Linked DNA regions of Canis lupus familiaris. Each later gene encodes a partner of the first gene's protein in a complex. Links are inferred from orthologs where the notes say so. Each region holds a gene or a part of one and is shown in the gene's direction. Other genes may lie near its edges. The genes, in order: DNM1L and mitochondrial dynamics protein MID49-like.

The links.
Region 2: the proteins of DNM1L (region 1) and mitochondrial dynamics protein MID49-like are in contact, whole or in part, in a cryo-EM structure (PDB 5WP9), measured with the Homo sapiens proteins. The link is inferred for Canis lupus familiaris from reciprocal best matches to the Homo sapiens genes DNM1L and MIEF2. Residues at the interface, in NP_036192.2 of Homo sapiens: Asp190, Met191, Ala192, Thr193, Ser194, Leu197, Lys198, Ile199, Arg201, Glu202, Gly223, Thr224, Asp225, Asp228, Arg233, Val234; in NP_631901.2 of Homo sapiens: Val213, Asp214, Thr215, Val216, Arg218, Arg226, Leu230, Arg235, Val245, Gly246, Tyr248.

Annotation. Positions count from the first base shown.
Region 1 is NC_049248.1:30,392,355-30,405,290, forward strand, and holds part of DNM1L (dynamin-1-like protein), read left to right. Parts: intron 1-307; coding exon 308-394; intron 395-2,392; coding exon 2,393-2,555; intron 2,556-3,580; coding exon 3,581-3,701; intron 3,702-5,389; coding exon 5,390-5,521; intron 5,522-6,494; coding exon 6,495-6,701; intron 6,702-9,555; coding exon 9,556-9,676; intron 9,677-9,894; coding exon 9,895-10,050; intron 10,051-10,296; coding exon 10,297-10,386; intron 10,387-12,004; coding exon 12,005-12,097; intron 12,098-12,936. UniProt on the Homo sapiens protein: Functions in mitochondrial and peroxisomal division.
Region 2 is NC_049226.1:41,505,191-41,516,876, reverse strand, and holds mitochondrial dynamics protein MID49-like, read left to right. Parts: upstream 1-2,608; 5' UTR 2,609-2,729; coding exon 2,730-2,796; intron 2,797-2,810; exon of another isoform or gene 2,811-2,990; intron 2,991-2,996; exon of another isoform or gene 2,997-3,585; intron 3,586-5,044; coding exon 5,045-5,199; intron 5,200-5,390; coding exon 5,391-5,571; intron 5,572-6,081; coding exon 6,082-7,136; 3' UTR 7,137-7,176; exon of another isoform or gene 7,177-7,592; 3' UTR 7,593-9,609; downstream 9,610-11,686. Other genes in the region: FLII (protein flightless-1 homolog), read right to left, coding at 1,121-1,183. UniProt on the Homo sapiens protein: Mitochondrial outer membrane protein involved in the regulation of mitochondrial organization.

The DNA of each region.
Region 1 (12,936 bases):
TAAGTCTATTAAACATATTTAAGAAGTTGTATCTGTTCAGAATCAAGAGACAAGAATGTAAAATAATGCAGGGGAAATAAATTTTTGTATATCGATGTTACAGAATTGGATAAGATTATCACCTGCTATATTGGCTGGCTGCCTTACTTGATGTGTTTCCTCAGGTTTTGATTGTTTAAGTGTTCATAGTTTAATTCATACTTAAAAGCATCTAATGTCTATCTGCTTGAAGTGAGGTATACTTTAGCAATTTATATTTCACTGAAATTTTAATGTGATTTTAATATATTTTAAAACTTATTTTTAGGGAGTAAGCCCTGAGCCAATTCATCTTAAGATTTTTTCACCCAATGTTGTCAATCTGACACTTGTGGATTTGCCAGGAATGACCAAGGTAAAGATTAGTTGTTACTCATTGTGGATTTGGTCATATTTGTTTTCAATTGTGGTCGTTTTTGCTTGACCTTATGAGAATAATCAGCTTCCCCCCCCCCCCCCCCAGTTGATCTATTAGCAGCATTGAATATAGTCCAGCCCTCCCTTCTCATTGAAATATTTTCTTTACTTGGTTTCCAGGATACCATACTCTGCAGGTTTCTCTCCAGTCTTACTGGCCACTCCTTCTCTGTCTCTTTTGCTGGTTTCTTATCTTCCCAGTGTTTCCACAGTGAGTGCCCAGAGCTATTTTTAGACCTCTTGTCAGTTGGGTACGCTACCCTCCCCGCCACACCATTGATTTCATCCAAACTATGGCTTTAAATATATGAATGTCTGTATGCTGACAGCATTTAAACATCTCCAGACTTGTATATCCCAACTCTCTATTTGGCACGTACACTGAAGTGTCTAATAGGCAAACTTTATGTGTCTCATGCTAAATTTCTTACCTATTCCCTCAATCTTACTTAATACTTCTGTAGTCTCCACCACCTCAATAAATGGCAACTTTCTTCTTTCTTAGGCCAAAAAGTTTGTAGTCATCCTTGACATGACACGTTTTATTCCACACCCTACTTTCTCAGAAGATCCTTTTGGTTTTCTTTTCTTTTTTTTCTTAATATTTTTATTTATTTTTTCATGATAGACATAGAGAGAGAGGCAGAGACATAGGCAAAGGGAGAAGCAGGCTCCGTGCAGGGAGCCCGATGTGGGACTCGATCCCCGGACTCCAGGATCACACCCTGGGCGAAAGGAAGGCGCTGAACCACTGAGCCACCCAGGGATCCCCTCCTTTTGGTTTTCCTTACATTTAAAATCTATCCAGAACTCCATTTTATCTTACAAATTTGTAGCTACCGTCCTGATCTAGCCACTATCCTATCAGCTGGATTACTACAATAGCCCTCCTAATAGGTCTTCCTCATAATTTTATTCTTAAGCAGCCAGAATGATGCTATTAAGGTGGAAATTAGATTATGTCATTCCTTGGCTCAAAATCTCCAGTGGGTTTTCTTTTTTTTTTTTTTTTTTAATTTTTATTTATTTATGATAGTCACAGAGAGAGAGAGAGAGAGGCAGAGACACAGGCAGAGGGAGAAGCAGGCTCCATGCACCGGGAGCCTGACGTGGGATTCGATCCTGGGTCTCCAGGATCGCGCCCTGGGCCAAAGGCAGGCGCTAAACCACTGCGCCACCCAGGGATCCCTCCAGTGGGTTTTCATTTCATTCACAATAAAAGCTTAAGTTCTTAAAAGTGATTTAAAATATCCCTGTTATTCTAACTCTTTCTGTTCGAGTTTTCTGCCCTTACTATTCATTGTGCTGGAATATTCTTCCCTCAGATATCTGCATGTACTTCTCCCTTATCTCCTTTAGTTTCTGCTCATTCTCTTAAATGTCATTATCTGAGTGACTTTTTCCCTCATTTCTCTTTTTAAAAGCATAATCCTAAAGTAATTATTTAAAAGTATAACCTTATCTGATCACTCCCTAGCTCCTTGTTCTGCTAATGTTTTCCATAGCTCTGCCACCACCTAGATACTATATATATGTATTTGCTTATTAGCTACTTCTCATCACTAAAATATAAACTTAATGAAGACAGGAATCTTGGTCTTTTTTTTTTTTTTTTTTTTAAATCACTACTGTGACATCTGATGTATAACAGTGCCTGAATTATAGTAGGTTGCCAATAAATACTTGCTAATTGAATGAACGAATGGATTTGCTTCTGGGCATTGACCAATCCTTTACACGTAAACTTTTGATATTTGCAAGAAATATGTTTTGAGACTTTAATACTACCAAATTCATATATAATGCTAGTACTATATACGTTCTTCATTTTAACTATCTGTGAATGGAGTAATACCTATATTCTGTAGATTAAATTGGCGGGGGGGAAGCTGAGTTGATTTTTATTATTAGTTCCTTGCTCATCTGTTCGGTTCAGGTGCCTGTAGGTGATCAACCTAAGGATATCGAGCTTCAGATCAGAGAGCTCATTCTTCGGTTCATCAGTAATCCAAATTCCATCATCCTTGCTGTCACTGCTGCTAATACAGATATGGCAACATCAGAGGCACTTAAGATTTCAAGAGAGGTAGATCCAGATGGTAAGGACAGATATTAATATTTAATGAGATCCTTGATTAACAGTGGTAAATCTACCCTCAAGAAAGGAGTATTAATTTTTAAAAGTAATTTCTCTAGCTATAAATAAAGATTTAAAAAATAATGCGTTCCTATTTTGCTTATAATTACAAATAGAAATTCTGATGGAAATTAAACTTTAATGGGTTAGTTGCTATATAGACAAGGCAAAAGCACTTGACATAATATCCATATTTGTAATGGTTGCCTAATGATTTTAAAATTATAAGATGGTTTTGTAAAGAGGACTTGTTTTGTATAAATAAAATGATTTAGATTTTTAAATGGTTGACTTCTAATTTTTTTTTTTTTTTTTTTTTTTTTTTTTTTTTTTATTTATGATAGTCACAGAGAGAGAGAGAGAGGCAGAGACACAGACAGAGGGAGAAGCAGGCTCCATGCACTGGGAGCCTGATGTGGGATTCGATCCCGGGTCTCCAGGATTGTGCCCTGGGCCAAAGGCAGGCGCCAAACCGCTGCGCCACCCAGGGATCCCAAATGGTTGACTTCTAAGAATTATTAACTCTCATAATCATTGTGATGATTGTGTTACCTACATTCTGCAGAGGTAGAAAACATTTAGACAGGGCAGAGGAAATTCTTAGAAATAAAGGTAAAATCCTTTTAAGAAGCATTTATAACTTTAAGGATTATGTTTGTAAGTCCTATTTTAGTTCATACTGTGGGTCAGTGTATGATATTTGACTAATGCTGTGGTGTGCATTTCTTTATATAAAATGGCAGCTTGCAGGGATTAGTTATTATTGCTGCTAATAAATGTAGCTTTGCTTCATACAGGAGCACCCAGGTACCCCTATAATTAGTTTTTAAAAAGTATTTGTAAGCAAAGGTCAGAAAAGCATTACTAAAATGACAGAGATAATGTTAAGGAGGGATTAATAGATGAGGATTTTTCCTTATTAATACCTAATAGCTTTATTTAATGGATCATTTTCTTCTTTTGTTTTTTGTTTTTTGCATTTACCAGGTCGCAGAACCTTAGCTGTAATCACTAAACTTGACCTCATGGATGCGGGTACTGATGCCATGGATGTATTGATGGGAAGGGTTATACCAGTCAAACTTGGAATAATTGGAGTAGTTAACAGGTTAGCAATCAAGAATGGGATAAGAATTGCAGCATTCCCATTTCAAAGGAAATCTGAATTTTATTTTTATTTTTTTAAAAGAGTTTATTTATTTATTTGACACAGAGAAAGAGCACAAGCAGGGGGAGTGGCAGGCAGAGGAAGAGAGAGAAGCAGGCTTTCCATTGAACAGGGACCCTGGGATCATGACCTGAACCGAAGGCAGATGCTTAACCGACTGAGTCACCCAGGCGCCCGCAAATCTGAATTTTAAAAAGCAGTTTAAAATGTGATATTATCCCTCTTTTTCCCTTTTATATAATCTTGGTATTGCTAGGAATTTATTACTCTGAAGAGAGGAGAGAGATTCACGAAAGCCTCCTATGGGTATTTGTAATGGAAAGTGTTTTTAAAGTAAGCAGTCCATAAAATGGAAGAAAATTTAATAGCCAGGCTTGAAAAATTTCTGCCTATTATGTTATATATGAGGAGTGCACTGGAAGAGAAAAAAAAAAGTATTATTTAGTTTGTACACATTCGAGACAGAGTCTGTAATAAGGTGGTAGGATTTTAATAAACTGGTTTAACACCTCTCGTATTAGTGATCCTTTTTAATTACCAGAATGACTTGGAGAAATTTTATTAAAGGTATCCTAATCATAAATAGCTGGTATTAAAAATTATAGAAAAGAAACTCCTGTTGAGTGTCTAATTATATTTTAGATCCTCTTCTGTTAGCAGTTTCCAAATGGTAGCTCTTTGAATCCTTATAACATCTTTGTGAGGGTAGGGGATGATGTTTATTTTATAATCAGAAGACTCAAGCTATACATCCACCAAACGCACATGTGAAAGATTTCAAATGAAGATCTTTAGTCCAAAGCCTTTATAAAGTAGGAAGCATTGAAATGAACATGAGATCTGGGTTCTACTCCTGCTTTGTCCATAAACTAGATATGTAATGTGGATTTAAATTTTTTAAAGATTTATTTATTTGTTTGAAAGAGGAAGAGGGAGACTGAGATCATGAGTCTGAGCCAAAGTCAGACAGACACTTAACCAACTGAGCTACCCAGATACCCCTTTAATGTGGATTTAAATGCCAGCTAACATCTTTAAATCTCAGGCCTTTTAAAATGAAACTGTTTTTACTAAAGTGATACCCAGGGTCCATTACAATTAAGTTGTCTGCTTTGTATGTCCTATCTTATCCATAGTTTGGCTTTTTTTTTTTTTTTAATCTGCCCCCTCCCATTTCATGGCGTAAGACTTGCATCTATAAATGACTGCTCTTGAAGTTAATTATTTTTGATAGAAATTAGATACCTGTATATGGATAAAATATACTACTGGTTATCATATTTATACTTTTTTTTCACTTGTCTACCCTGTTACTTCAGACTGCTGCTTTTGGCAGTAGTTAATGGTAACAGTGAGGCCTAAACTATTCAGGTATTACTTACAAGTCACAGGTTGAATCTCGGTGGAAGTATTTAACATGTGATCTTGTGTAGGTTAATGTCCCTGGGCATCAATTCCTGTGCTGTAAAATGGGATAATACCTACTGCAAGAATTACTGCAAAAATTAGATAACACAATCCATATCAGGCATTACAAGCAATGTCTGGTGCTACTACCATCATCATCTAAGGTATGTAGAGGACCACAATTGACTTTAGTTAAACAGTTTGTTATTTTTCAACCTTAGGAGCCAACTAGACATTAACAATAAGAAGAGTGTAACTGATTCAATCCGTGATGAATATGCTTTCCTTCAAAAGAAATACCCATCTCTGGCTAACAGAAATGGAACAAAGTATCTTGCTAGGACTTTAAACAGGTAACGTTTTTACTCTTGGAAAATATGGTCTTTTGGTTTGGCAATAGGTGTCTGTGAGCTCTCATTTTTAGTTCCTTTTCATAACATTTTTGTGTGTACAGTTTCATGTTTTGTTTCTTGTACAGTAGGTTCTTGTAATGTAGATAGATGTCTTTCTGTTCAGGTGACTGGCATTAAATTATGTAGTCTAGGAGTGCTCAAGGGAATTTTAAAATGTCTTAATTATGAAGTTCTTGACAGTCTACTCTTTTGATAATAGAACTAAATAGCAGATGACTAATTTCCCCTTGGGGTTTCAGGAACTAAATTAAAATGCCTATTTTTTACATAACCAATTGTTATTTTCGGATGTCTTCTGTTCTTATCCATAAAAAGAATTTAAAGTATATACCTTGAATCCTTAATACCCACTGATGGTAGAGGGACTGGAAAAGCTTTCTAGATGATTTGTAAATGACTGAAATGAAAGTTGTTTTCTCTTACTTTTGTCGTATTCCTTAAATAAAGGCTCATGGACTTGGATCTTAATAAGTTGGGGTTGAAGGCAAATTTAAAAAGTGTTGACTAAGTTCTTTGTTCGTGTTCAACCCATCAAATTGTAGCGATTGCTAGAGAGCCAGATATAAATTGAAAAAATTATTTTTATATTAATTACAATTACCTCATAGAAAGTAAGCTACTCAGTATAATTCTATCTACATAATTTTGATTTCTGACTTCTGTTTTACTGTGGATACTCAGCACAGTGAAAATGATTACTTAGTCTGAAAAATGTAAAAAGTGTGGGCTCAAGTATCATCGTGTCTTTTTTTCACACTAAGCATTTACTTCCAGCCTAATATTGCTTTATTTCCTGCCAGGACAAATTATTTGACAGCTTTTACCATTATTGGCACATTAAAAATTTGACCTGTTTGGGTCTTCAGAATACACAGCTTTACTGTAAGAATCCTTTCTTTCTGACCTTTGTTAGGTTACTGATGCATCACATCAGAGATTGCTTACCAGAGCTGAAAACCAGGATAAATGTTCTAGCTGCCCAGTATCAGTCTCTCCTCAATAGCTATGGTGAGCCGGTCGACGATAAAAGTGCTACTCTGCTCCAGCTTATCACCAAATTCGCCACAGAATATTGTAACACTATTGAAGGAACTGCAAAATATATTGAAACTTCAGAGCTGTAAGTAAAACATTTCTCTATGGGTTTGCTTATCTGAAATGCTGGGTTACTTTTGCTTTTGTAACAGTGACTTTAACTCTGAGATTTTCTGATCATGATTTGTTATTTGCAGAATAGTGTTTTGCAGAAATAATAGGATGCTGTCTGACATATGTGTTAAAATGCTTTGTAAACTAGGTAAAGCACAGTAAATTTGTTTTTTTTTTTAGACAAGACTTTGATAAGCATTTAAATATAATTGATAATTTAACTTTTTTTTTTTTTTTTGATAATTTAACTTTTTAAATATTTGTCTCTTTAATAGACACACTGATTTTTCATGGGGAAAAAAAAAGAAAATGCAGACAAAAAGAACAGAAGGACAAAATGACTTAATTCCACTATCCAGAAATAATCCCTGCTAATTTTGGCACGAACTTAGACGTTTTTCAATGCAATGATAAAATATTATAAATGCCTGTATTACACATCTTCAAAAATCAGATCAAAACACTATCATGCTGTTTTGGAATCATTCCTTTAAATCATTGTGTCACAAACAACTAATATTAATTGTACATTTCTATTACCAGTCTTAAAATTTACATAGTATTTTGCTTTTTAGATACACCCTAATGTCTTGAACCAGTACCCTACTACTGATAGTTTCATTTAAATATAAACAGTGTTTTGATCGACTATTTTGGGGGCATGAATCTGAGTAAACCCTTAGGCTAAATTCTTAGGATGGAATTACTATATCAAAGGGAGAACATCCTAAAAATCCCTTCCTGTTGCCATACTGTTAGTGGATTATATTGTTTTACTGTTAGCAATATGTAAGAATGTTCATTTATCTGAACTCTCACTTAAAAAAAAATTTTTAATTTTGAAATAATTATAGACTTTCAGGAAGTTGCGAATAAATATGCCTTCCTAGGTCCTGTTAATCTTTCACCCCATCTTCCCTAGTGTTGACATCTTGCATAACTGTAGTACAGAAACAAAATGAGAAAATGGACCAAGGGTACAGCCCACAGAGCTTATTCAGATTTTACCACTTGTGAAATTATACACACATTGGTATGTGTATTCTGTGTACTTTTGTGTGACACAGGTGGCCTGTTATGTGAGTTAATTCTGTAAAGACAGTATTTAACTAATTACTAATTAATTGGTGAATGGTTAGTCATATTATAATATATATAATATTAATATATAATATTATATATATTATATATATAAACATATGGCATATTGAGGGGAAATACAGATTACTAAGATGAGCCTTTGAAGCACTTAGTGGGTAAGGTAGAATAAGATAACACAAGGCATGATTCAGTGGCAAACAGGTGTATAATCAAGTATTTTTATTTAAATACTTATTTAATATACTGCATATCTGGAAAAGTGCTTATATATGGGGAATTTTTTTTATATGGGGAATTTTATAAGTAGTTAATAAAGCAGATATCTGTGTAATCATTTAAGCCTTAAAACATTGAGGAGAGATCATTTACATTTCTCTGAGAGACTGGGTAAGTGCCATAGTTAAGAATGTGTTCAGGTTGGGCTCTGAATAGGATATAGGGAAGCAATAAGTAGAAGAGTGTTTTAGGCTTTGGGACAGCAAAGAATAATGCAAAAGGTGTATTTGGGGAATGGCATGTACGGTGGCAGGACATAGCAGGCAGTTAGGCAGCAAAGGCATCTGAGAACAAGATTGTGGAAAGTCAGGTATCTTCAGAATTTAGAGAACTTCCTGCCATAGAAAATAAAACACTTTCAGTCAGAGGAGTACCCATTTTAGAAGGATAATTTTAATTATTATGGAAAATTATTTGGAGAAAGGATCGGTTGGAGGCAAATGGATAATTTAACCATTTTTAAGTGTGGTTTAATAGCATTTGGTTACAGTCACAATATTGTCTAAGCATCAGATGGTGTCTATTTCTAAAATTTTCATCACCCCAACAGAAACTCTGTATTTCTTTGTTCCCTCCTCCTCCAGTCTCTGGTAACCTCTAATTTACTTTCTGTCTCTATGAATTTGCTAATTCTAGATATTTTATATGAGGGGAATCATATAATCTTTGTCTTTTGTGTCTGGCTTATTTCACTTAACATAATGTAGGTTGGTACCTTCTGCTTAGACAACGGTAAGAAAGTAGTGGATAGTAGAGATTTAATTTGTTTAAGGCAGAAGAAAACTGTAGCCCATCGGCCAAGAAGGATTTTTACATTTTTAAATGGTTGAAAAATATTCAAAGAATATTTCATGACATGTTAAGATCCAAATTTTAGTGTGCATAAGTTTTACTGGAACACAGCTACGCTTATTTGTTTGTATTTTTGTCTATAGCTGCTTTTGTGCTCAGTAGTTGAATGGAGTTGTCGTGGCAGGGACCATATGGCCTGAAAAGCCTAAACTATTTACTATCTGGCCCTTTACAGGAAAAGTTTGCCTATCTTTTCTCTAAATTGTGAATAAACAGAAATAAACAAGATATCATTTCTTGTCTTTTAAAAAGCTCATAGTCAAGGAAACTAAGGGCAGAGAAAAGATGTTTAATAGTTCTTAGTTACCTAATGTTTTTGGACAGACCATTATTCTGTATGTGTGTCTGTGTGCATGCAAACAAATACATACATGTGATGGATGCCTTTTGTGGAATGACTCTTCTTCATTAAAAGAAAAAAATTACAGAAACTGGTTCATAATGGAGTTGAGAACACATGGAAATGATCTAAAAGTAATTGCTTATCTGAGACTTTATCAGACAATAAGACCTTAAAAGCTTATAGAAAGGCTTCTGACTTGTAGCTTCTTTCCCTTTTAATAATAATAGAAACCATATACTTCATTGCCTTTCAGATGCGGTGGTGCTAGGATATGTTATATTTTCCATGAGACTTTTGGGCGAACTTTAGAATCTGTTGACCCACTAGGTGGCCTTAACACCATTGACATTTTGACTGCCATTAGAAATGCTACTGTGAGTATGCTCAACTTTTAGAAATTTTTTAAAAAGTTAAGGATTTATTATAATTTTTAACCCATTAGCTATATCTTTAAAGGAATTGTATTTTTGCCCTCATACTTAATATCAGGAAGCACTTTTCATGAAAAATACCAAAAAACATGATTTATTTTAACTTAGGGAAGAATTAAAATTTAATATAGCTATAATAAGAGCTCAAAAAATTTTTTTAGGGTCCTCGTCCTGCTTTGTTTGTGCCTGAAGTTTCATTTGAGCTATTGGTCAAGCGGCAAATCAAACGTCTGGAAGAACCCAGCCTGCGTTGTGTGGAACTGGTTCATGAGGAAATGCAAAGGATTATTCAGCACTGTAGTAATTATAGTACACAGGTAACTGAGAAATGTAACGTGTCAGATTAAGTAGTAAAAGACGGGAAGTGGTGGTTTTGTGGATTGGGAGGAAGTATGTAAGATGGGCTAAAAATAAGTTAAAAATCTGCATTTTTCTGTATCTGAAAGTGATTTGAAGTGTAATGCTATATGTTGCTTAAAATCTAATTCAGTATTTTGGTGATTATTTAATTTTCCTTTAAACAAAGTAGACCGTTAAATTTTTCTTTCTTCTATCATTTATAGGAATTGTTGCGGTTTCCTAAACTTCATGATGCCATAGTTGAAGTAGTGACTTGTCTTCTTCGTAAGCGGTTACCTGTTACAAATGAAATGGTGAGCTGCTATTTTCACAAATCATCATGGTAACCACTAAAGAAATTTTTTTGTATAGCAATAGGAGTACTTTAGAGTTTAAGCCATGTTTTCCAGTGTATTGGGAAGAAAAAGAAGTAAACTTCACTCTTATTTCAAAGGACACAAGTAATTCTGGCATGAAGTATAGTTTTCTTCATATTTTAATCACTGTTAGCCTACAGCTCTAGGTTTTCATAAGAATGGAGTTAAGTGTTGACGATTGTGATTAGCTTTGCTATACTATATAGCACCACTGATCTAATGGAAAATTAGTTTAATAATCAGGCCCGGTAAACTGAGCTTTTATATGGCAAACTATTTTAGCTCTAGTACATCAGGGTAATTTGGCCACTTGTAGTTTGCTTGTTTGATGATGCAACACTGTAATATCATGGTTGCTTGCTGCTCTTTTCTGGGTTACTGCTATCCTTAAAAATGCTGAAATTGGCAAAAATAGGGGATAAGCATTTGAAATCGCCTTATGTCTCTATGTGTTGGCTGGGTGTTTTGTTTCCCTTTCTGGTCATTAGAAGTGCATTTGGATCCTTGGCTCAGGATGGTGGCGAGTCCCCATGGAGGTTTACAAAGAGTACAAAACCATCCCTGGAAGTACAGAATGTGAGCGCTGCTGTTTGGCGGTTTCCCTAGCGAGTGGAACCCCCAGACTGAGAGGAGCAGGATATGGTTAGCCTGATCTCAGTGTCTACCCAGTGACAGCACAGAATCATTGGAATTTTATTTGAATAGATGCTTTTCACCTTGGTTCTTGATGTTTTAGTACTCATCTAATACCCAATTTGTTAAGGCAGACAGCTGAAGGAGTTAATCTCTCTGCAATGCTGGGGAAATTAATTTCAACTTTCCTTTTTGATTATTATCCTGTTTTGATTATTGTTATTAGGATTTCAGACCACATACAATATTTAAACTGTGTGTCTAAGGCTAATCAGTCATTATCTCAGGTCTTTCAATGTATCCTTTACTCAAAGTTAACAGCTTTTATATCTGATTATGAAATGTTTTCTTATTGAAACTGAACTGAAACTTTGAAATGGATTAGCAGGTCATCTGAGGTTTTATTATTTTTAAAAGATTTTATTTATTCATGAGAGATACAGAGAGGCAGAGACAGAGGCAGAGGGAGAAGCAGGGTCCCCCCTGAAGGGAGCCCGATGTGGGACTGGAACCCAGGACCCCAGGATCATGACCAGAGCCAAAGGCAGATGCTCAACCACTGAGCTGCCCGGGTGCCCCTGAACCTGAGTTTAGTAGCAAAATTATGTAAAGTCTTGGAACTTTAGGTTTGCATCAGGGAATTTTTTTTTCCTCTAGCAAAGTACTTCTAACTACCTTAAGGTCACTTCCTCCCCTCCCTCTAAAGGGGGAAATGCATTCTTAGATGCTGAGATGTAAATTATTCAAAAGATAGAGCAAATTATATGGCATAACATGTATCAGTTGGGAGTATAATTATTGACTATTAATTTAGGCATCAGTTTCCCATACTGTCTTTTTAAAAACTGTTTACTAAGTTTTGTTTCCTAAAGTAGTTAGGTCGCTGTATTTTTGTATACAGTCTAATTTTGTTTTTTTCTAGGTCCATAACTTAGTGGCGATTGAATTGGCTTATATCAACACAAAACATCCAGACTTTGCTGATGCATGTGGGCTAATGAACAATAATATAGAGGTAAATACCATTTGAATTGTCTCTTTAGAGAGAAAAAATCTGTTGTAAATCAGTTGTATCAAATTTACCAAGCATGGGATAACTATAAAACATACATAGGCTACGTCATTTATTGTCTGTCATATCCCAGGAAGTATGATAGCATTACACTGTTACATAAATTTAATTGTCAAAACCACCTGGAGGCATTTTTCTCATTTTCTGTTTACACAATTGTAATTCAGAGGGGACCTGGGATTCACTGATTTAGTGTTGAAGGACTGCCTGCCTGCTCCCTTTCAGTAACTGTTGTAGTTTATTCAGGTTGAAGAGTGCAAAACTAAGTGTGTTTAAAATAGTTTTCATTTGGCTCTGAAAGCTGGGAAGGAAACATTCCAAGAATCACCTAAGTTAATTAATAGTAAATTTTCATCAGTGCTGGGGTGGTTGCATTTCATAGCTCTTTTTTTTTCCCCATTTGAGTTGAATGTTGCAAGTTGTTTAAGATCTCACACAGAGCCAAGGCTAGTGGATAAAGCAATTTATCCAGATGCTGTTTTTTTCTTTCTTGGCTACTTTTATCCAAGAACAGTAAATTTTTCTGCTTACTCGTTAATCCAGTAAGACCTTAAGAGTCCTCTTCTTTATAAAATTTCCTTTTATGCATATGGATGGACAGAAAATTCTAAGCATGTAATTTGGAAACTGGAAGGGACCCTGGGTCATCGGCTTCAGTCTTGGTTAAACAGATGAGGAGTCTGAGGCCCACAGATGGTAACAGTATTTTTTTAGTGCTTATTTTGCTGGGCACTGTTGGAGGAAACAAGCACCTTCTCTTTGTAACAGGTATAGGGAACTAT
Region 2 (11,686 bases), on another chromosome or scaffold:
CTCACTCGTGTCTTCGTGAGCCTCTGAATGCCCCCCTCAGTCCCCTTAGCCTTACAGTGGGCAGTTTGAGGCGCCCTTGGCCGGTGTTCCCAGCCCCCTACAGCCACATTCCCTGCTGGTGACTCTGGAGAGGTCGATGGAGACCCCAGGTAAGGATGGCAGCGATGGGGGCAGAGGAGAGTGGTGTGGCCACCTGGGCACAGTGTCAGAAGTGCGTGTACAGGTGGGGAAATGCAGGAAGGGCCTTCTTGCCTCCTCCGTGAGGGCCCGGCCCCCACCCCTGCAGACGCAGCCGGACACTACCAGGATCCCCCCCCCCTCCCCTGCCCACCTGCCCCCAGGCTGCCCTTCCCCGGGCGGGGCCAGCTCTCACTTCCACTGCTGCCCCGCCTCCTTTGGTCGCCAGCACTGCCCTGCTCCTCCCTGACCCTCTAGAACCGCCTCACCTGCCCTGTGGCCCTAGTCTACCAGTCCCGCAGCTGCTCAGGCCACCGTCAGCCGAGGTGGCTGCACCTGCCCCAGAGTCCCCAGAGGGGTTACTAGGCAGCCCCCTCCACCGGATGAGAAAACCCGGGCTCCGAGAGGGGAAGTGACTTGCCCGAGACCACACAGGATGGGGTGGCGGCGGCAGGCTCGGGCCGCGATGAGTGTGCTCCAGACCCGCCCCCGACCGACAGCCGGTAGCAAGGCCGGCCCTGAGTCAGGGCCTGGCTGGGCGTGTGACCTCAGAGGGGCGGGGACGGAGGGCGCGGAGGGCGGGAGCAGCTCGCAGACCCCCAGGCCAGTCTGCGGCGCGGGCGGGGCCCGGACCCCCGGACCCCCGGACCGGGGCGCGCGGGGCCCCCAGCCCACACTCCCCGCGCCGCTGCGCGCCCGGCCCCCCCGGCCCCCGCCCGGCCCCCCCGGCCCCCCCGGCCCGGGTCTTCCCGAGCCGCAGCGGACGCGTCGGGGGGCCGTTCCGGGCGGGGCCGCGAGCTCCGGGGCAGCCCCCCTTCCCTCCCGCGGTCCCGGGCGGCGCGGGGCCGGGCGCGGGCGGGACAGGAAGCGGGGAGCGGCGCGGGCCCGGGCGGAAGACACGGCCTGGAGGGAAGCCGGCCCCGCGCCCTGACGGCCCGCTCACCTTGAAGTCGTTGCCGCTCAGGTCCACGCCGCGCACGAACGGCAGCACCCCGGTGGCCTCCATGGCGCCGCTCTCGCTGCCGGGCCTGCGGGCGCGGGGGGCGGCGGGGCGAGCCGCGGGCTGGGCCGACGCCGGCCCCGCCCCTTTAACCCGCCCCCGCCCGGCCCGGCGGCAGGCGGAGCCCCGGCCGCGGCCCCGCGCGTCACCCGGGGAACCCGGAGCGCCGGGCCTCCCCGGGCCTCCCCGGGCCTCGGCTTCCCCCGCCGTCCGCTGACCCCGGGCCCTCGGAAAAAGTCCGGGCTCCCCCTGCGCTCCCGCAGGCTTCTAACCTCCACGCTGATTTCAGCGACCTATGGCGGGGGGTGCCGCAGACCCTGCAGGCCCGGGCTCCGCCCCCGGGGCAGCCGCAGCCGCTGGAGTCCGGCCGTGACCTCTGCAGCGATTAGGGACCCAGGCCCGGGGGCGCACGGACCTAGGCCTTGGGTCCTAGGGCTCTGGGCTAACCCCAGGTCTGCTCCTGCCTCAGCTTTCTCATTTGTGAAATGCTTCCTAAGGCTGTCGCCAGAAACAAACTCAGGTGTAGGTCGCAGCATACAGCAGGCGCTCGATAAGAGGCACGTTATCATTCAGGCTCTCTTTACTTCCTTGCGCCCCCACCAGCCGGCACATAATAGGTCCCCAAGAAATAAACGCCGAGTGAGCCACAGGTTCTATGCACGGTCACCCTTCGCGGGGGGAGGGGCCTTGTGATACCCACTTCAGGGGAGAGAAGACTGAGGCCAGAACGGAGCAGTGGCCCGCACAGGGTTACACGGCGCAGGTGGCAGGGCCAGCCTCCTGGGTCACGCTGTGTGCCCCGCGCGCCAACATAAAATAATAAAGCCACACTGCGCTCTCAGAGGTGACCTCAAGGGTCAGGCAAGCGGGCCTTCGGGCCAGGTACCACCTGTTTGCCGGGCCCCGGAAACAACGCGAGCCCAGACAGTTCTGTCTACTCCGCAGCCTCCCATGCGAGCACACGCGGCTTCCCACCAGGCCCTCGGGTCCGGCTCATCCCGACCCGGGTCCCGGTCGCCACCCCGCCCTGCGCCTTTAAGCCCGAGTGCGTCCGGGAGGCCCGCCCCCGAGGGGCCGCGCTCGTCAGCGGGGGGCGTGGCCTGCTCCTCACTGGCTGAGCCGCGCAGTATTTTGGAACGTGGGCGGGGCCTCGGGCGCTCCGATTGGACCCGGGGCTTGTTCGTCTGCTTGCGTCGGAGGTCAGGGCCGCCCCCGGGGCCTCGGGGTTCGGTTCCCGGGTCCTCCGAGTTCCATTCCCAGGCGGGCCCGGGCTCAGGACCCAGGGTCGCACCCGCTGTGTCCTGCGGTCGCTGCGCCGAAGCCGCGACGCCCGTGCGACCGGAGTGCGGCTGAGCGGCCCGGGTCCCCCAGACCGGGGCGTGGAGCGTGCGTCGGACGCAGGTCGGGGGCGTGGTCTCCGCTGGGGCCCGGGTCACGGCCGGGGAAGGGGGGAAGGGCTTTGCGCCCCGGGCCGGAGTTCCAGTGTCGAGCCTGCCCCTTTACGTGTTGGGCGCCTCAGTGCACTTCTCGGGGCCTGGTGCCCTCCGCGCGGATGGGCCCCTCCCAGGCCCTCCCCGGGGTTCCTGCGCGCTCGGCCCAGCCCCGGCCCCGGGCAGCAGGTGTGGCGGAGGAGGGGAAGGGCGGGCGGCGTCTCCCGGCGTCTCCCGGCGCCTGGTGGGGGCCGGGCCGGCAGCGCGGAGTCGGGTTATTTTTAACCACCCGCGCCTTCTCGGCGTTCCGGGAGTTGGAAGGCTGCGGTTTGCGGCCTGCGCGACCCCGCCAGGGGTTGGGCTGAGTCCCGTTCAGGCAGGAGGTATTGAAAGCTTTTTACACTTTGCAAGTGGATTCTGGGCTCCGCTGGAGATGGCTTGCAGTATTGATCATCGAGGAGGAAGTAACTAAAAGCGGCCGCCGGGCCTTGGTGGGGCACTCCCCTAGCCTTTGACCAGCCCAGGCCCCAGAGCCCTCCTGTCCTATTTTTACTCTGGGCAAATCGGGGGGCGGGGGTTGGGGCTGACTCCGGTGGTGATTCAGGCTTCAGCTGCTCTAGGCATCTCGTCACCTGGCAACTGAGCCCTGGGCACCCACAGCGGATCCGAGAGGACAGAAGTCCTTGGTGCCTGGGCTGGCTGCGAACCCACGGTCATCTGGTTCAGGCATCCGCAGAGAGACAGCGCTGCCTGGTGTCTGACTGGTCCTCCGGGCCTCAGCTTGCACCCCGGCCACACGCCCCCTCTGCTCTCAGGGCCTGAGGCAGGAAATCCCCCGGAAGAACCAGAGGTTGGAGTTTGGGGGCCTAGGCCTGGGTGGGATCTCTGTCTCCACTTCCCAAGTACCCAGGCCTACCCAGCCTTATAGTTCTGGGTTCCCCACGTGTAAACCTTCACCACGCCTGTGCCATTTTACAGGTGAACAAAGCCTCATCTTCCCTTCTCTGTTGCCTCGGTTTCCAGTCTTTGACAGCTGCTCCCCCATCCCCGCTACCCCTGCATTGTCTCAAACTTGAGAGGCCCAGAGAGGCCCCTGTCCAGAGGCACTGGGCAAGTTCTCTGTTTGGGATGGGGGGTGGGGTCTTTATTTTTCACCTACTTTTTTTTTTTTTAATTTTATTTATTTATTCATGAGAGACACGACACACAGAGAGAGACAGAGACACAGGCAGAGGGAGAAGCAGGCTCCACGCAGGGAGCCCGACGTGGGACTCGATCCCGGGTCTCCAGGATCACGCCCTGGACTGAAGGCGGTGCTAAACCACTGAGCCGCCCAGGGATCCCTACCTACTTATTTTAAATATTTTATTTTTAAGTAATCTACACCGAACATAGGGCTGGGACTCACATCCCCCGAGATCAAGACTCAGACGCTCCACAGATGGAGCCAGCCAGATGTCCTGTTTGGGGTCTTTGGAGTTACCCTGCTTGCTGCCCCCACAGGCAGGCCTCAGCCTTCATTGATGTGCCTCCCTGGGCAGCCTGGGCCAGCTCACTCGTCCTGTCCTTTGACTTGATAGCTCTCCCTCCAGGGGCTACTCTATTGAGATCTGGTGGCGGGGGGACCTCTGTTGAGGTCAAAGGCCTGAGGGGCCCTGCAGGGCAGACTGCTAGGACCCCTGGCGGTGTCTTCTTTAGGCCAGAGTTCCCTCCTGCCTATGCCCAGCCCCGGTTAAGAAGCAGGACGAAGCAGCCTCTTGGAGCTGGCTGCAGGCTCCAGTAGACTGACTGGACTCTGGGGGTGGGCCAGAGTCAGGACACTTTGCAGGATGGGTCCAGGTCCCCACCACTCACTGTGTGGTTCGGCAGCCTATATCTCTCTAAAATGGGGATAGCGATGATGAGACTCACTTCACCATCTTAGGTCATGTCAGGGGTCCTTGAGGATGGGATGGAGAAGATGGGCCTCCTTTTCTCACCTGGCACAAGTCTCAGGGCCTTTCTTTTTTTTTTTAAAATTTTTTTTTAAATGTTAATTTATTTATGATAGTCACAGAGAGAGAAAGAGACACAGGCAGAGGGAGAAGCAGGCTCCATGCACCGGAAGCCCGATGTGGGATTCGATCCCGGGTCTCCAGGATCGCGCCCCGGGCCAAAGGCAGGCGCCAAACCGCTGCGCCACCCAGGGATCCCTCTCAGGGCCTTTCTACATGAGCTCCTTGTCTAGGGAGTGGGTGGGCTATTTGCAGGTTTGCAGTGTGGTAGAGGTGGGGGTTTGGGCAGCCCCATCTCCTCCCAAGAAACCGTTTCTCCTGAGAAACTCCCAGGAACTCCCTTCATCAGCTCTACTCACGACAGCCCCAGCATGATGGGGTCGGCCCCACTGCCAGCCTGGCCGCCCCCCCACAGAGCTGTCTATGTCTACATCCTCTTACAGGCAGACAGACCATGGCCGAGTTCTCCCAGAAACGGGGGAAGCAGCGTGATGAGGTCCTGGGCAGCACCGTGGACTTCCTCCTGGCCAATGCCCGCCTGGTGCTGGGCGTGGGCGGAGCCGCCGTGCTGGGAATTGCTACCCTGGCTGTGAAGCGGGTAAGGCCAGGCTGAGCCGCTCAGAGCTAGGGCTGCCCGAGGAGGACAGTGGGGCCCCAGGGGGAGGGGGTGGGGAAGTGCCCAAAGCTGGCACCTGCTTCTCTACCCCAGCAACCTGGCTGGCGTTGCCCCTGGCCTTGGCCTGGCCACACAGGCTTCGGATGCTCTGATCCATGTCACTCTGCCGGCAGCTCATTGACAGGGCCACCAGCCCTCGAGATGAGGATGACGCCAAGGGGGACACTACACGTCTGGAGGAGAGCTGGAAGGAACTGAACCTGCTCACGGCCACACCGCGTCAACAGCCCCGGCCCCCACCTGCAGCCCTCAGCCAGCCCGTGTCACCCCCTGACCCCTCGCCGGCTGCCCCAGGTGAGTGGCACCCCATCCCCTCCGACCCGGTTGGGCCCTCCTCTGGTATTACATTTGGGAGATGCAACCCAGGCTCTGCCTTTGACTGAGCCTGGGACCTAGGCAAGTCCCTGCTGCTCCTCGGGGGCCGCAGCCTCCCTGCATGTTTAAGGGTTTCTCTGCCCTCCTAACCTCCTGGGTTGTGCCCCCAGGACCTGGACTGAGAGAGCGGTACCAGAGCATGGCAGCAGTGTTGTGACGGTGAGGGGCCCCAGATGGGGAAACTGAAGCCCAGAGCCTGTCTTCTCAGCCTACACCAAGCTGTTTTAGGGCGTTGGGGATCTGGGGGCAGTGAGAATTTGTCATCACGTGCTCACCTTACGTGAGAACTTGAGCTAAGCACTCTCCCAGGTGGTCATTTTACAGCTGAACAAAATAAGGCCCAGGCTGTCACACAGCTAGTAATTGGGTGGAGGTCTCTTGGCTCCTGACGGGGCCTCCTGATGTGGTCCCAACCCCTTTGTTCTGCAGAGGGGCCCACAGACACGGGTCCTGAGATGTCACTGCAGCTTAGCTCTCCGGCGCCGCTGTGCCTGACGTTCCAGGAGAAGCTGCTGGCGTTTGAGCAGACCCACGTGACCATCCCCGCGGCCCACGTGGCCCTGGCCAAGCAGCTGGCCGGTGACATTGGCCTTGAGCTGCAGGCCTATCTGCGGAACAAGTTCCCGGAGCTGCCCTTTGGGGCACTGGTGCCCGGCGGGCCGCTCTACGACGGGCTGCAGGCGGGGGCGGCTGAGCGCGTGCATATCCTGGTCCCCCTGGTGCTGGAGGCGGGCCTGTGGAGCCTGGTGCCAGGGGCGGACACGGTGGCCAGGGACCCTCGCTGCTGGGCCGTGCGCAGGACTCAGCTGGAGTTCCGGCCCCGCGGGAGCAGCCCCTGGGACCGCTTCCTGGTGGGCGGCTACCTGTCTTCCCGCGTCCTGCTGGAGCTGCTCCGCAAAGCGCTGGCCTCCTGCGTCAACTGGCCTGCCATCGGCAGCCTGCTCGGGTGCCTGATCCGGCCCAGCGTGGCCGCTGAGGAGCTGCTGCTTGAGGTGCAGCACGAGCGCCTCGAGCTCACAGTCGCCGTGCTGCTGGTGGTCGCCGGCGCTGGTCCCGAAGATCCCGTCCTCCTGGCGTGGCCCCTGGAGGGGTTGGCTGGGAACCTCTGGCTGCAGGACTTATACCCCGCGGAGGCTGCCAGGCTGCGGGTCCTGGATGAGCGCGACGCTGGGACGCGCCGGCGGCTGCTGCGGCTGCTGTGCGGGGTCTGCCGCCGCCACCCATCCCTGTGGCGGCTGGACCGGCGCCACCTGACCCAGGTGGTTCTGCGCCTGGGGGAGCACGAGGCCGACTGGGCCGAGGCGGCCTTGGGGGCGCGCTTCCTGCAGGCCCTGGAGGCGCTCGTCGACAGCCTGGAGCGGGCCAGCCTGCCCTGCCAGCTCAACCCCGGCGTGAACCTCTTCGGGAGCCTGCGGGACGAGGAGATTGACGCCCTGGGCTTCGCGCTGTTCTGCGGCCTGCAGGCCCCCGAGTGGCTGCTCTAGCCGGGTGGGGACGGGGCGGCCGGCGCTCGTTCGGCGGCGGGTGAGCTGGGCGCGCCTCCCATCCGGGAATCTGGAGAGCACCCTGTCTCTTGCTTTAGCCAAAATAAAAAGAGGGGGCTGCCCTGTAAGCCCCCGGGTTAGCATGTACGCGGGCAGCAGTCGCGGGAGGCCCCGGGCCCAGAGAGCTCGGCTGGGCCACCTCGGGGGCAGCCTGGAGCGCCGGCCACTCCCCCGGCCCCATCTGGCCTTGGGGCGACCCTGGGACCGTGGGCTCGGTCCGTCGTCACCAGCAGTGAACGCACGGACGATCCGGCTTCTGCTCTCCTAGGCGGGGGATAAAGGCAGCTCCGTTTATCTGTCAAGAGGGTGAGTTAGCGTTTTCCTCGGGTGCCAGCTCCAGGCATCTCGAGGCTTCTGGTGCTGGGTGGTAAACACTGTGTTTGTGTCGTCCCCCAGGGGCCAGAGTCACCTGGGACCCCCCTGCGCCCCGGATTGCAGCTTTGGGGCTGATCTGAAGGCTGTGTCTCCCAAGTCATGTCACCTGCGTGTCCAGCCAGCTTGTTGAGCTCTCCCCTCTAGCCTGGAGCAGAGCTCCGTCGGACGTGCTGCCCACCTCGTACCTCAGGGGAAGGCCCCATTCTCTCCAACAGGGCAGATTTTCTGTTTGGGAGGCAGAGAGACCCCTGGAGAACCTAAGGCTCCCAGTGCCCCCCGCTTTGCCTGGAGCCAAGGATGTGCCACCGGCTACTGCTGGGCCCGGCCTCCACCGAGCCACCACGAGCGCTCCCCGCCGACACTGAGGCCCACTCGGGGATGGGATTCCGCCTCCCCTCCCGGGCATCCCTCCCATCTTTGGTGTTCTTCGTGCTGAAGCAAAGCTGTGCCACTAGGAATGTGAATAAAAGGAAAAACGAGGGTGTGTGATTTGTGCTGGGCTCTTATGCATGGCTCTTTGGAGTTCTGGAAGCTTGGCCACAGGTCTTGTGGGATCGACCAGGAAGAGTTAGGGCTTAATTGGAAAAATAGATCGTGTGGAGAGATAATATTACCAGTTTCCGGGTGTGATGCTTCACTTTAGTGATGGAAACCAGCTAGTCAGGGACTTTTTTCCCTGAAAAATCTAAGCTCTCACGGCCCAGCTGGCTCTCTGGTGGGCATGGCTGCCCCAAGCCCATCAGCCGGCACGTCAGTACCCAGAGAAATGTCATGTTTGTATCTCCTGGCCTCTTGTTGTGGCTCAAGTGGTGGACGGCCCTCCCCAGACAGGGAAGCAGGAGCATCTCAGCGTCTCCACGGGAGCCATGGCTGGGGCTCATATCCTTTGTCACCACAGATGACAAGTGGGCCCTGGGGACGGCTTTGGGCCACGAGTGCTCAGCGGTCACCACAGTTGCTTTTCCCATCCTGCTTCTCTCCTTCCCATCCCGTCGTGTTTCCTGAGGTAACCTGTGCCCTGAGCTGTGACCACAGGACCACGAGCAGCACCAATGTCCTCCCTCGTCTGAGGGCCAGCACGCAGGACACATGAGAAGCACATGTGTACTTCTGGATGCAGGACCAGGAGCTGCCCCTGGAGGTCATGAGGGCTCTGCCCCAGGGGCATTCAGATGCCTGGACGGCTCCACACACAGGCTGTGGGGAGGGTCAAAGGGCAGGAGACTGGCTGAGCCGAGGTCCATTCAGATCACTTGGCCTGGGGACTGGCGCACAGAGAGCCTTGAGCAGCTGCCCTGGTGGCCGAGTGTTGGCACCGGCCTGGGCAGACAGAGGCGGGGCCTTGGTACTTTTGGCAGTAAATTGGGGGATTATGGAATACCAACTTCTCGGCGGTTGTACGAAGTAACTGCTGGTGTGCAGTGTTAGCCCAGGGCCTGGCACGAAGCAAACCACTCTAGAACCCAACTGTGGGCCCCAGCTATCTCCCCCCGCTGACCAGCGTCACAAAGCTCTCTCTTCTACACCAACTGTAGAATAAATCTTATCATATAGAAAATGTTTCCTTTCTATAAACCCACTCGCTGGGCCCGTCTCTGCAGCACTTACCTGTGGCATAGTCCCAAGTGGGGGTACTGCTCATTCCCTAGGGCTGGCCTGTCCAGTTCTTCCAATCTTTGCTATTACAGCAATCCCCCCTGATCTGTGGTTTCGGTTCTGCGTGGTCACTGTAGACCAGAAGCATGTGATCCTCCCAATGTATCGTGTCCACAGCAGCCTCATGGTGGGTCACAACGCCCACGTCATTCACCTGACCTCATCCCGCAGCCATTGTACCGCCTCACAGCCCCACAAGAAGGGGGGGGGGGTACAGGACAATACGGTGGTTTGAGAGGAAGAGACCACATTCACGTTAGTTTTATTACAATATATTGTTATAATTCTATTATTATTTATTGTGAATTTCTTACTGTACCTAATTTCTAAACTTTCTCCTATGTATGTAGGTACAGCAAAAGACAGTAAAACAGTGTATATAGCGTTTGGTACTATCTGTCGTTTTTGGCATCCACTGGGGGTCTTGGGACATATCCCCCCAAAGATAACCAGAGGGACAACTGTATTTAAACTGACAGGCCCTGAAGAAAGTCTCTGTGCACATAAGCCATAGCATAGGACATTCCTGGGAGTGGAAACCATTCAGTATTCAGACCCAGAAAGATCCTGCCAAACTGCATTCTGGAAGGACTTTGGTCACCAGCCCAGAGCCCCAGGCTGAGCCTGGCAGGCGGGCAGGAAGGGGTGAGCAGGTGCCCCTGGGAGGCGGGACCCGGGGAGCACGTCCACATCCACCCTGGCCCCACTGCCCCAGGGCTGCGGACTCCTGACCTCCTCTCCGCAGACTTTATGGCTGGGGGTGGATGATGGAAATTGCCCACTCCGAGCTGTGCCTGCCGTCTGTGGCTCGCCACACATACCTGGAGTGCACTGCGGGAAAACTCACTTTGGTGTCAGCTGAGCCACCTGGTTGCTTCAGGGGCCAGAATCTGCCTTCAAAAGCAAGTGGCTCTGGTGTCTGAGGTGTGCAAGGAAAGCACTTCCTGGGTGTTGGGAGCAAAGGCCCTTCCCCTTCAGATGGCGATTTAGCCTGCCGTTCATGTGGGTCGCAGGCCCCAGAAGGTGCTGGGCCTGGGGCAGGGGCGGGGGTTGCAACGGACCCCCCGGCAGCCTGTAGTCCCAGGCCTCTGCTCCAACTCTGTCCTGTTCCCCCTAGAATGAGGGCCTTTGCAAAAGGACACTTCTGTAATTAGAAAAATAAAGATATTAAAAAAGAAACCCCAGCAACATTACAATTTGGTTGTGCTCAATTCACTGAAGCTAAGGCTGCAGTGGACAAAGCCCAGAGTGTATTCCAAACAACGGGAATGGCTCCGGGGATGCTGTTTTGGTCCTTTCCGCATGGCTCCCGATTTCCTGAGACAATAGTTCATTTGGCCGGGCCTTCAGGCTGGTGGGAAGGCCAGACTCTCAGGCTTGTTGGACTCTGACCTCTTAGCCTGGAGCACCACTTCTGAGCAAGTCAGGCAGTCTCAGGCAGGGATGGGGCGCAGGCCTTGGTCCCTTGGAGGAACAGCCAAGGGTGAAGGGTGGCACCACCTGGCGTGCTAGGTGCACCTGTGCCACCCTTGTGTTCTAGTCCAGGGAACTTGGACATTATGATCCTGGAGTCTGAACAGCTGACGTTTTAGGTTGCGGCAGGCCATGGAAGGAAGGACGGCTGTGAGTTTATCACAAAGGGCAGCAGGGTTCTCCTCCCATTGGCCCAAGAGCCAGTGCCCGATGTGGTGTCGTGCTGCCGCGCACACGGGGCCTGGCCCTCGTTGAGTGGTGGGGGTGGGAGGCTGGGATTGGGGCTTATTTGTAGTTTCCAGCTGCTCCAGGTGCAGTAAGCATCAGGGACAGCTTCTCTCCAACGCTGTGTGGGGCGGCCCCCCTCTTGTAGTCTTTCAGACTGGGGCAGGCAGGGGTGCGGGGCATCCCTCCCATCTTCTTGGAGGGATGGCAGGTGGCTCCGTCCCTGCCAGTGGGCTCTCACCTCAGCGTGGAGAAAGATGTGGATGCTCTCAGAGCTTCAAGGTGTAGGCACAGTGGCAGACCAATCCCTGCTTGGCTGTTTATGGGGCAAAGCGCTTCTCCATGAGGCTCGAGCTCCACCCACAGACGGAGGCAGGGAGGCAGATGAGAAATGTGGTGTGTGACCCGCTTGGCCTCGCGCTCAGTAAGCTGGGGTTGTTCTCACTTGGGTCCTGGATGGCACAAGCTGCAGATGGGGGTCCAGTACTGGGGTTCACACCTTTCTAGTCACAGGTGGGGAAAGCTCAACTTCTCCTCGCCTGAACGCTGCTAGGCTGAGGCCATCAAGAGACCTGGAAAAACCCGACAGGTTCTGCTCATGAACTTCCCACTGCAGTCAGGCCTCGCTGTAACCTTCCACCAAGGAGCTTCCAGGTGAGGAACACCGCCCAGTTACAAAAGGGGCCACTCAGGCTCAGGGTTAAGGTGCGAGCCCAGGGAGGCATGCAGGCGGGGTGAGTCAGGACCTGGGGCAGGTCTGA